Drosophila melanogaster: one gene and its partners. The protein of the gene in region 2 interacts with the protein of the main gene of each other region in a pairwise test. Each region holds a gene or a part of one and is shown on either strand. Other genes may lie near its edges.

Region 1 (4,166 bases), on a different chromosome or scaffold from region 2:
GCACAGCTTTTTCAAATCGGGTGAAAGAAGAATGCGTAAGAAGCAATTCAGCTTGAAAATCAGTTTGCCAAAATGGGTCTGGGGTTCGATTTTAGTATCATTTCGGTATACTCCATTTGAATTGCCATAATTAATTGTATATACAAAAGAGCAGGAAGGATTATGTATCTAATTTTAATATACTTTTAAAATTGTAACTTATGTTTAGTGCTCTCGCTTAATTATAGTTTTGTAAAAACGGGCTATTTGTTTTTATTCGTAACTGAACACACATTTTTTTGAAAAATCAAAATATTATACAATGATTGTTTTAGTTTTAGTTGTTTAGGGTTTTTTGCTATTTTACACTTGCTTGTTTACAATTCGAAATTGGAGAACAGTATTAAAAGGCCAAGGCGAAGGCAAAGGCGAAACGAGAACTAAATATATTTAAATGCGATTTTCTCTGCGCGATTCCAATTTGTTAATCAATGTCACGCGCTCAAAAACTCACACGAAAAGTTCAAACAAACGGCAACCTGATGCGCAAATGAATAAAAAAAAAAAAATCGAGACACGCAACAACTCGGCAGAAGAATTAGTGGACGACGACGACACGGCTGTCGAGCCGTTCTTCTCCGAACCTGAAGAAGAATTACAAATTGTATTCGATTTACTCCTCTAGCAAAAGAGTCTGCGGCAATGCTCAAGTTTTGTGCGTTCGCTATGCTCGGCAATTGTTACTTAAATGTGCTTTAGTTCAGAACTATGTACCCATTCGGTTGCCTTATAAAAAGGATGTTTTTGTCTCTTCTTAGGGCTCATGAAGATTCAAAATATTCCTTTTGCCCCAAACTCAAAACGTTTGTTTTCCAAAATCTTTTGTTCAGACGTTGAAATAGAATGAGAAACCAATTAGAATTAGAGAGTCGATGGACAAACAAAGAGCGCAGCATTGCTCGATTGGAAATCTTTTGCAACTAAATAATTCTAGAATGCGAAGCAATTTGTAATTTTTATTGAAATGCCAACAACTTTGGGCCGTTTATAAAATGGCCGAAAGAGGAGGCATTTGAGCAAAGGGGTAAAAATAAAACAAAAACAAAAAACAAACAATTTAAGTGTTTTCAAAAAGTCAACAAACTCATATATGCAGCTATATATATATATAAAAATAATAAAAAAAAAAACATTAATTTATTTCTTACTATATAATTATTGTTGTACTAAGTCGGTGAGAAAACCCATGAAAGAAAGAAATTCACACGAAAACTAAAAAACAAAATGCATATTTATTAAAAATAAGCAAAGGTTGTGCAAAAAAAAAACACATTAAAAAGCAACATTATTATTGTAAAAATTAACTAAATACGGCAATTGTTATTAAATGTGCAAAATTCAGCAAACACATTGATACAAACCTCAGAAAATACAAGCCAAGATCTGAAAACGGACATCAATGGAATGCAAATTTTTGAAAATATAAGGCAAGATGAACCGTGAACGGATCAAACAGAAACGGAAACGGAAACAAAACACTCAACAACAAGAAGTACAAAATGTTAAATATGTATCTATAATTTACAATTACGTTTTATATTACTCTCTAATTTACACGCTTACACAATGGAAAAATAGCTAACTATTATTGCAATCGTCCTCAAACACACAATAAAACTAGATCAAAAGGCGGAATTATTACTTTAGCTAAAATAAAATATCACCTTTTGCAATTTGTATCATTTTCTTACCCTTATTGTTTCACATCGAAATCAGAAAAAATAGTTAAAATAGCCGCATATACTCATATTAAATTGAAAAGAAACGTGTCATTGCAGAAAAGGATAAAGAAAATAGTAATATAAATGATATATTTATTCATATAAATGTATTTGAAAATGTGAACAAAAGAATACCAACAATAAAACACAATTTAATAAACAATGTGAAAGCTACGAGTGTGTTTTTTTTTTAAAACACTTAAAAACACAGTAGCCGTGCAGTCAAAAATCCAAAACAAGAAAACCAAATTTCGAAATGGAGGAGCTAATGAGGCAGAACGGACAGAAATGCGAGAGGCAGGAACTCACCTGCAGCGTTTTATTTACCAAGTGAGTTAATCTTAAACCAGTCGGAGTAATCTTAAAATATTTTCCTTCTCCTTGCAGTCCCAAGCTTAGTGCCGAGAAGTTATCCTCCAATGATGAAATAAACTCCATTGCGAGATTCGTATCGAAGGCGGAGGATCTCGAAATGCATAGAGTGTTCAGTAAGATATCAAAGAATGGTGTCGAGGAGACCACGTCTCTGAATCGCTCCCTCTTCGAGTTCGGTCATAATTTCGAGGATGCCGATGGCTGGCTGAAACTGGAGCAGCCTTGCAAGGATCGGCTGGCCACGGTGCTGCGCTACATGTTCGAGTCCCATCTGAAGACCACTGTGCAGATAGAAATCAACAATATGTACTTCAATTGCCACTTCATCGTGCTGCAGGTGTACTCTCGCTTCTTTAGTGAACTGGAGATGATTCCGCTGCTGGTCACCCTGCCCGAGAAGATCGTGTCCCAGAAGGCCTTTATGCTCTCCTACAAATGGATGCTGAGCGATGAGCCCGTCCTGGAGCTGGCTCACATTGTGGAGGTCTATGTGGCCGCCACTTATTTGAGGATCTCTGGTCTGGCGGCGCATTGTTGGAAATATTTCGATGATGAGGAATACTACAACGAGGATACGGCATGTGTCCTATACGTCGAGTCGAAGGACAATCCCGCCATGGATGTAGTTCGCAATTTGATGCTGACTAGGATCCGCAAGTTTCTGCTCACCTTTGTGGCCACCAGGGATTTCCTCGATCTGCCGACCTCCCATCTGATTTTTTTGCTCGAATCCGATCAAATCTGTGTGAACACCGAGATTGAGGTGGTGTTCAACATAATATTTATAGTTATTATTGCATTTTATATGTTTTTCTTAGGTTTTCTTTATAGCTGTTCGATGGCTGGGTCACGATTGGAACAAGAGGAAAGTGCACGTACGTCGTTTAATGTCCTGTATTCGATTCAACCTGATGCCATTGTGGTATCTACTATATGCGCGACGGGAGGAGGATCACCCGTTGGTGATGAAGCTGATTTTCAACCCGGAGGTGGAGTACAAGATCGACGAATCCATATCGAGAATAACGTCGCGCATGTACGAGGATGCCTTGGAGGGCAATGACGCACAGAGTGAGGAATACGCAAGTGATTCCGGACAGCGAAACTGGATATGCGATAGCTTGTGCAGCTATTATCACGGCGTCGGTTGTCCCAATACCCGGGAAATTCGTTTCAAACACTTCGAGGATTACCTTTCGGAATTACAACAATGCTCCAAAGATCACTGGTCTCAGGTGATATTTCAGGACCCGAGTAAAAAGATTGACTGTTGCAGCACAAGGAAGATAAAATCGGACGATTTTGTTGCCGATTAACTATTGAGTTTGAATAGTAACGACTAGAATTCAAATTTGCGGGCTTCAGTTTGTGCTAGTATAACAACTTGGCACACTTTTCTGTTATACATTGTACACTTCGTTCATTTGATATTTATGAAACAAATCAGCATATTTTTAATAATATATTTTTTAAAATGTACATCAACATTTTAAAAAAAAAGCAAGTGGTTTAATAAATATAATTAATATTTATTGTATTATTGTCGCAACTTTAAGTGTGACCATTTCTGCAACGCTCTTTGGCATTTCGGGCAGATAGGGTGGCGTGCACACTTTGCATTGTTTTGGAAAATAATTTGATACATTTATCAGGAAAATGGAAAAACTGGAGGCCCTAAAAATATCCTCGATGCGTCCGCGCAGCAACATCCTAGACAGACCACTATCCAAGGGCAAAACGGAGGTTTCCCAGAGCATTGTGGCGCTGCTTTTCAGCGAAATCGTCCAGTACTCGCAGAGCCGAGTGTTTACAGTCCCAGAATTGCAAACAAGGTGGGAGTTTCTCTAAGTTTTTGCGATTAATTCGTTAATTCCAAGGCGTTTTCAGACTCCACGATCTGGGTCAAGATGTAGGCACCCGCATAATCGACCTGTATTTCGTGAGGGAGCGCAGCTCCAAGCGAGAAACAAAACTAACCCAAATGCTTCTCTTTGTTAAGACCACGGTGTGGAAGAATCTCTTTGGCAAAGA
Region 2 (5,033 bases):
TCCAAAAGAGGTCTTACGGATATTTCCACGCCATTTGGGAAGCGTTACCGACTTTTTAGTGGTCGACTCGGCATCGCCGGCCATCTTCAACACGTCAACAGGAAGTCAAATATACGCACACGCACACACGCTGACGAGGGCACTCACACACACAGACGCACAGTCACACTTATGGCGAGGCAAATACAAACATGTCCGCTGCAAAATGGCGAGCATAAATTTCCGCTTCCGCCAGCTGACGTTTTATGGCAGAAGCGAGCGCAGAGCGCGAGAGAGAAGAAAGTGCCAGAGACTGAGTCAAAGATTGTTTATGGTGGCCAACAGTTGATTCATCGCATTTAATGGATAACGCCGAAGCACATTCAGCAGAAAGGGAATCAAATTCGCGAACGGAGTGAGCATATGCGAGTGCTGCCATTTTATGCTGAATTTATGAATTTATGAATTTATTTCTGGCGAGAAAGCGCGAAGGGTCTCTAATATATTGGGGCAATAAATTCGCCAAGCAGACATGTCTCTGTGCAGATGCCCAGGGCGTGAAAGGAGCGTAAATTCCTCCACTCACTCAACTCCTTCATCAATTATGATTATTTACATGTGATGCTGCATGACTGCGCAGCACGCGCCGCTTAAAGCCCCAATTACCAGTGATTGTTTCTCGAAGCGGCCTGAAATTGCATCGCCTGATCCCTCAATTGTTGTCCAGATGGCGATGGCTTATCATTTAATGAACTGCTCGGATCACACAGTATTGCTACACAATATGACCATTGTAGTTATGGCCAATATTTCCCCCTCATTGTCCCCCGTGTGCATGGCCTTTGTTTAGCGCGCTAAAGTCGGCGCTTATTTTTATTTAGGTCAACTTTATTATATGCACATAATTACAAAAGCCAACACACTGAGCCACCCAGAGTGTGTGTGTGCCAGCCGCAGATAAAGCATTTATGAAGACAGACATGTGGGAATTGCGGTGCTGGCAGGACAAACAAAGTGCCATCGTGGGGAAATCCGTCCGCCACCCGCCTTCCGAGTCTCATTTATTTGCGCTGTTCTAATAATAAGAAATAATGTCGTTTCATGTCCTATTCCAGCTTGGCCTATTGTCCATGTCCTTGCTTCTGCTTCTCTGGTCGCCAGGACGCTCCAAATGCCCAAAGTAAAATATTTATGCGACAAAAGACAATTTTGGATTTATGCCCCTCTGTGTGTGCTTGTGTGTGTGTTAGTGTACTTTATTCACTTCCAACCACCAGTGCTAAAAGCAGCTGAGTTGGGCATTTTGTGCCTTTTTGCTTGAACAGGAAATGCTCCATAAATAGCACAGCCTTGTCAGACTCTTTCGTGTGCGAATTTATGTGGCAAAGGCTGGGAAATTGTATGGCCAACATGGCTCGATTGGGGCAGCATTGTGGCCTAAAACTGGGCCAAAAAACCAAAGTGTGCAAACTTTAATTGAGGTTCATTTGGATGGCTGCAAACGCATGGCATTCTCTGGGCAGGTCCCGTTTTAAAAATGATAGAAGTTCGTACTCGTTACTGGATTTAAGCATTGGGTCGAATGTTCTATTTGGCTACCAATTCAAGTCCTGAGCCACTTTTACAGTTAATGAATGTAATCGGCACGTATGTATCAACGTTTAATCTCTGAGACCTTGCTAAAACTCTCAACTCTCAGGAAGTCCTCAAATTTGGCGTAAAAATATAAATAACGACAAAATTTTATTAGTAAATGAAAATTAAGAGTGGTCCAATCCGATCCCATCGTAAATGCGCAGGAAGGCGTTGCAGCGGCGTCGCTCTGCTGGCCGAGAAAACGATCCACCACAGCTCGGAAGGCACGACCGGCAGGACAACCGCTCCCAACGAGCGGAGACGTATCCCTCGATCCGAAAAGGAAAGCCACATTGCGACCCCAACAAGAACGAGGCCACCACACGGTTGGCCAACACCCTCGAGGCCGATGGCAGTGGGCGACCCTACGACATGGTCAAAGACGACGTGCTGCTCGCTTGGCAGCAAAGTCCTCACAAGGACACGTTGGGCTTCTATGGCGTAGGATCGCCCACCCACCAGCCCGAGTCGGTGGTGTTCAACCAGGTGGTGGCCGCCTGCTTGGTCAAGGTCAACGGCGGCGGCACTCAGCGGAGGATCCCTAAACAGGATAAAAAGCCATCCCCAAGGGATACGTTAGCGCAAAAGAACCGTACCCCTCAGATTTGCAAGCCTTTTGTCTTAAACCGCCACGCATTGCAGTCTGATCTACAGCAGATTCCCCACGTTCAACAGCAACTGGATCCGCGACAGGCTTTCGGGACGCTATACTGCACTGATCATAATCAAGTTCCTCACGATTCCACTAGAGTGGCACGCCAGATGTACACCGGCATTTCCAGACATCAAGTTTCTAACATTGAGCCAGCAAGAAAAAAAGACCCACGTGGTCTGCGCCATCCCCAGTGGTACTGCCCCCCGGATGGCTTGGAGCCTCGCCATGGGTGCACCCAGTACGAGTGGGCCAAGCGCAAGCTGGATCCTAATCCCAATAACAATGAGTTTCGGCATTGTCCGCAAGGGAAAGATGAACACAAGAGTCCGGAACCACTGAACTACGATCAGCTGTATAGTAGAATCATTAAGTGCTTTGAGCCAAAGCCTTCTCCAGATCCGCTTTGCGAGCCCTATGAGAAGTGCTGTAAGCCGAAAAGATCCCATGGAAAGGATAATCAAGGAGGAGGTGACAGTCAAATACCCAAAGGACCCAGTAGGCCCACAAAGTCTTCGGGCGATCCAGGTAATCCAATTGGACACGGAAATCGCGAACCAGGAGAGGAAGATAAAGTAACTATAGTGCGAGATGATGGAAACGGAGATAGAGGGGACAAAGAAAATGACAAGGATAAAAATCAATTCGTTAATAAAGATAAGCCAAGAGTTTCAATTAAGGAAAATGATAATGATGGTGATCAAAACAACGATAAAAATAAAGACAAGGTCGTAAATTTTAATCAAGAAGAAAATAAATATAAAAATCAGGATAGATACAAGAATAAAGAGGACAAAGAAAAAGAACGAGAAAAGAAAAAAAGGGAAAAGGCGAAAGAAAAGAAAAAAGGCAAGGATAAAGAAACAGAAAAGAAGAGAGAAAAGGTAAAGAAAAAGAAAGAAAAGAACAAGGAAACGGGAAAAGGAAAGGAAAAAGCAAGGGAAAGAGATAAAGAAAATTATAAAGGAATTGAAAGACCAAGAGAAAAAGAAGAAGGCGAAAGAAAAGAAAGAGAAAAGGAAGAAGAAGAAAACGAAATAGAAAATGAAAATAACAAGGAAAAAGAACTTGGAAAGGAACAGGAAATAGAAAAATTTAAAGAAAGGGAAAGACCACATGAAAAGGATAAGCCAATGGAACGAGAACAAGAAAGGGAAGAAAAGGGAAAGCAAGAAGAAAAAGAAAGGGAAAGAGGAATTGAAAAAGAAAGAGAAAAAGGAAAGGGGAAAGAAAAAGAAGTTAACAAGGAACATGAAACTGGAAAACAAAAGGAAGACAAAAACAGAGGAAAGGATCAATTTCCAGAAAAGGGCAAAGAAAAAAAGCAACAAAAACACAAAGAAAAATATAAAGATGAAGATAAAATCAAAGACATGGATTTAGAATATGAAAAATATGACCGTGATGATATTAAAATTCCAAACAATAAAAAGAACAAAAATAAATCAAACGAAGATAGTAAAATTGAAGAAAATAAACCGAACAGCAACCTGCCAGAAGTGACCTCGCGATTCTTCGATATCCCCGTGGATATGGAGTTCGATAAAACTATCAAAAGAGGAACTAGGGTGGAAGATTACGAATTTCCAGCCCTAGAAATTGTCAGGGACGAGCCAGCGGCTCCGACTTGTAAGCTAAAGGATCCGCCCAAGAAAAAGAAAATGAAGAGGATTAAGAAAGTTTGCAAGGATAAGCCCAAGAAAGTCTGTCCACCTTGTCCACCGGCAGGTTGCCAGTGCGAGATCTGTCACTTCATGGATCGCCCTTTCAACGAACAGGAGGCTCCCTTCATGCGGGAAATGAGGCGTGTGGAGCAGAAGCGCCAGCTGCGTGCCTATTACCGCCAGATGCGCCATCAGGAATACATCCGGGATCGATGCAAGACAGAGTACCGGGCGCCCAGGCACCAATGCGATCCGATCTACTGCTCCAACTTCTTGTGCCAAAATCCCCGACTCGCCGAGCACTGCGATTGCCTGGGAGCCGTCCAGGAGCTGCAGAATCTTCTCTCCGGCTCCAAGGACAACGAGGATCACAGCAGACTGCTCCTGCGCGTCGAGAATCTCCGGAAACGCGTTTGCCAGCGAATGTGCGATTGCATTCTGGCGTGAACTGGATCGGAGGTCTTTGTGTTTGAGAAAGTACCTATGTGTGTATGGAATATGTTTGGCTCCTTGGAGTATCTGTTTTATATTAAACAAGACATAAAAAAGTTTTTTATGCAAGACAGCTTTTCCATATTGATGAAACCCGAATACATACTCTACATTTTTGTTAGTTTACAGTCGAAATGCGTTTTTTGAACAGCCTCTGAAGAAGCCTTTTAAGATGGCAGACTTTCCACTCCAAAACATTTAAAAAAGTAAGTAAAAAAGTAAAAAGTTAGACACTTTGCCACTCATTCATAATTCTGCTAATGCAGAGCAATCAGCAAACAAATTGTGAGTGTCAATCGCAAGCAAAAAATGACAGAATCCTTAGGCAATCAATGGGTTTGGGTGTGTTTTTGGCCAAGGCCCAGCATTACAGCCACTTTATTTTCAATATCGAATTTCCCAAAAATTTTTCAACAGCCGCAAACACTTGAACGTTTTCCCAGCGCTCAATTAAAGGCCATTAGGCAGCAGTGCGTGAAGGGGTTTGGGGGAGGAAAGTCCACAGAAAGCTATCAAATACTACCCCAACCCCTTGCCCAAATCCATTGCAATGTGGTGCTATGTATGGCCAAAGGATATACTGGAAACACGCATTGAATTTCGCAGACAAA
Region 3 (3,636 bases), about 11 Mb from region 2:
ACCGCTAAGTAAATGATTGATTGGTTTTGAAAGTTTCTGGTTAGTTTTTAGCACAACAGCTTACACTTCATGGTCGAGTGAATATTGGCCACCATATTGTCGTAGGTCTTTCTGGTGTCGGGCAACAGGTAACGTCCTGGCAACTGACTCGATCTTAGCGAGGCCTTGATCCTGTCCCTCCTGGACAGCTGCGACAGCCTGGTCTTGGCGCTCTCCTCCTGTTCCCAGTCCCTTCGCAGCTGGGTGGTCAGGATGTGGTGCAAGGCCAGTCGATTGGTCATGGTCACGCTGTTTGTGGCTAAATGGTTATTTGCTAATTTCGAATTTAGATTGCGAATTTTGACTGCCAAAGTGGTCGAAAATTGTGGAATTTATTTTATATATTTTTTTTTATGAACGATGCCTCATTTTAGGATTTTAGAAAATAGTTCTGATATAATTTGGATTTATTCAGCCAAGGCAAGGGTGATCTCGAAATATGGTTTTGCAATCGATTTATTCATTTTTACACTTTATTTTTTATTAGTTTATTATTGTTTAAATAAGAAGAACGCAGCATATGATTCGTTTGCTTAAATAATTTAAAATACATATATAACTTCGCCGCATGCAATTATGAATTGGCTAAATTGATTTAGATTGATTTAGATTTACTACATCAGAGATCGATCTACAGGTGACTATTGATGTTCTTCCGGGCCAATTGGGCATAGATGGTGCCATGTGGCTTGTCCACTGGGATGAAAACTTCATTGTTGTCGCCGGGTGCAATCTTCTGGAAGGGCTTCGTATCGAAGTTGAAGTAGTGCTTGTTTGGCATGGTCATCGAAATGACCGACACCTGCGGCAGGACATCCAGGACCTGTCTTTCACTCAGATACAGGGTGTGCTGAACGGAGGGCGAGGACACGCCCACCTGCGGATCGCCAGCAAAGTTACGAATGATTATGTTTTTGACCGTTTGCCAGGCCCTGAGGAAGTCCAAGTTCTCGGTATCGGAGTACTCCCAGGAGCAATCCACCACGGTGCTAAAGATGCGATCATACTGATCTGGCAGAGATCTGAACTCATCGTTCACGAAGTTCACGAACGAGGATTGGGTCGTCTTCAGCACCCGGAGACCCTTGATGCCCGTGATGACCGTTTGTTTGGGATCTAAAACAGTAAAGGAGGTGATAATTTAGTAGTTTTAAATATTATTGCTTTAGTTATGTTTGACTTAACCTGTTCTCCTTATAACCACATCGCAGTAGTGAAGAGCGGTGGGCGTGAATATAAAAGCGTGATTGTGCAGTGATCTGTTGTCAATGGAGCTGAAGTCGCAGTTCCCTTGGACTCCGTTCTCGCACTTCCCATTGACGTTGGTCCTGGTCTCCTCCTGGCAAACTCGCTGCCAGGGATACGCCTCCACATGAACGTGCGCCTCCTCCACGTGCGAGTATTTGTTAATAAAGTGCCTGGCCAGGAGCAGAGCAAACTTCTCGGGACTTTCAATGCCATGCTTTTTCGCCAGCAAATAGACGGTGTTCTTCTGCGAATCGGTGGCCACGATGTCCGAGTTGTTGCCCTGGTAGTAATCCTTTTTGCTGTACAACTTCAGGTGAGTGCCCACCTCGAATTCCTGGATGGCGTGCACGGGTCCGTTGCGGCTGACATGCAGCACCTTGACCGCATCCTTGCCGTATCCGTGATCGGTAATCTCGTACTGATACGGCTTACCATGCTCATCCATGCCGGCGGAATTCTTTGGGGTCTGGTGGTTAGCCGCAGCTGGCTGTCTGAGGGGCGTGGCAAACATTGTGACTGCAATCACTCTCACTTTGATACTGATGATGCCATCAATTTCCTTGCCGCCTTTTATATCAGAACACCTGGATAACAACACAAATCTTTGTGTAGTTAGGGATTTTTTTTAGCGCATTTCGTAGAAAGCAAGTGGCTGGGAAATCGTATATCATCACTCTCACTTAGAGTATTAAAGGTCTAACTCAAATTACGACTAGTAGCGCTGATAATCGCGGCCTGGTGCCAAGTAAACATGACCAAGACTCAAGGCTATGTTTTCTATCTCCAAAACTTTGCATCTTGTTTACTTCACACTCATCTAACCAAATCCTTATTTTTGCAATATTACGTAGGAGATAAGTCGCAAATGCCGTTTTAACCATTAGCATCACTTTCGGGGGTAAATGAAAATTGGTAAATAATTTTTACAGATCACATCTCTGAATTTTATTCTTTTTTAAAATCTTAATTTCTCTCTTATTCACGCACGAGTCACTATTATTATTAAAACCTTGAAAATGTGTGCGTTGAAAAGATACATTTATTATTTCACAACATTGGAAAATAACAATTATTTCACCATAGAAAAAAAATATTAATTTACGTCTTAAATTTGATGTGACACTTTTGTTTATTAAATTTTAGGAGACCATTTTTAATATCCTTGATAATGGTCTTAAAAAATACACATGTTTAAGTTGAGTTTCTGGAATAATCTAATGTGACAGAATGTGTTCAGATGGATTCGACTGATCAAAAGTTTAGATATATAATTTATAGAATCGGAAACGCTTTACTTTACCAGTTACATACTGTTCAGTAAGCCTAGTATACCCTTTTAGTAAAGGGAATAAAAGGTTGGCATAGCAACTGCAGATCTGAAAGAGTGCAATTTGTAATAAAATGAAAGCTGTATTTGCAAAGAGTTTATCATTTCCGTGTGAGTCTAAACTTTTTATAAACCATTATTCTATTAAAAAACAAAACAATTTTATTATGTAGTGGGTCATAAGTACGTGTGAGCCAATCTACATATGTATATCAAAATATTTATTAACTAACCTATAAAATATAGAATGGTTTTTTCAAATACTCATAAACAGTAAATGACAATACACATATAGATACTATTATATATCACTATAAGATAGGGCGTTTAGTCTCGATTTATTAGCTGGAGGATTTAAACATACCACTTCAGCTTAGTGTTAAGTCAGTTTTATTATATGGATATAGAAAATGTCAGATGTTCTCTGCTATCTTGTGGTGGTCAAATTGCTCAGCAGCCAAATAATCTACTCTCTGCATAAAATTTCTATCTACAGAAGCTGTGGCTTAGTGCTAATCCAGTTTAATCTCATACATACTCTGGGTGAAGATATTTCAAAAGATATGTGCGCGCTTTTTTAAGATATACATTTGACATATATTTGTTTAACACGGTTTTTAGGAGCGTGCCTTGTATGCATAATGGTCTCCCACGATCCGAAATAGCTATATTCATATGTTTGTTGGCAAGTTATGTAAGTTCCGTTTTTGGTTATTGGCTTAAGATAAACTCTATGTTGGAATTGAAGTGTCATTGTTTGTTAAGCGAGAGTTTTATTTAGCAAAGATAATAATATTCGTGTTTATATAAAGGTTTTGATTTCACGGTTAAGTAAATTTGATAATAAAGTTTACTTTCGCATAAGCACGCGTCATAAAGTTATTTGGCTTAGTTTATGCATTATATTGTAGTACTCTACTGATATGATAAACTATATGATCTTGAAGATGATGATATGATTGTAAACGAGTAGAGAACCCCTGCCACATGAATCATCCCCAAAAGATGTACCGCCTGGAATT

What was found.
Region 1: the proteins of CG31797 (region 2) and CG12857 interact in a two-hybrid assay, tested with the Drosophila melanogaster proteins (one large-scale study listed by BioGRID).
Region 3: the proteins of CG31797 (region 2) and Uro interact in a two-hybrid assay, tested with the Drosophila melanogaster proteins (one large-scale study listed by BioGRID).

What each region holds. Positions count from the first base shown.
Region 1 is NT_033778.4:14,757,407-14,761,572, reverse strand, and holds CG12857 (uncharacterized protein), read left to right. Parts: upstream 1-1,970; 5' UTR 1,971-2,016; coding exon 2,017-2,090; intron 2,091-2,147; coding exon 2,148-2,898; intron 2,899-2,953; coding exon 2,954-3,451; 3' UTR 3,452-3,666; downstream 3,667-4,166. Other genes in the region: Trs31 (TRAPP subunit 31), read left to right, coding at 3,792-3,967, 4,023-4,166.
Region 2 is NT_033779.5:19,258,871-19,263,903, reverse strand, and holds CG31797 (uncharacterized protein), read left to right. Parts: upstream 1-1,663; 5' UTR 1,664-1,770; coding exon 1,771-4,377; 3' UTR 4,378-4,472; downstream 4,473-5,033.
Region 3 is NT_033779.5:7,778,280-7,781,915, reverse strand, and holds Uro (urate oxidase), read right to left. Parts: upstream 1,832-3,636; 5' UTR 1,799-1,831; coding exon 1,225-1,798; intron 1,156-1,224; coding exon 671-1,155; 3' UTR 501-670; downstream 1-500. Other genes in the region: CG7164 (uncharacterized protein), read right to left, coding at 1-4, 65-281. UniProt on the Drosophila melanogaster protein: Catalyzes the oxidation of uric acid to 5-hydroxyisourate, which is further processed to form (S)-allantoin.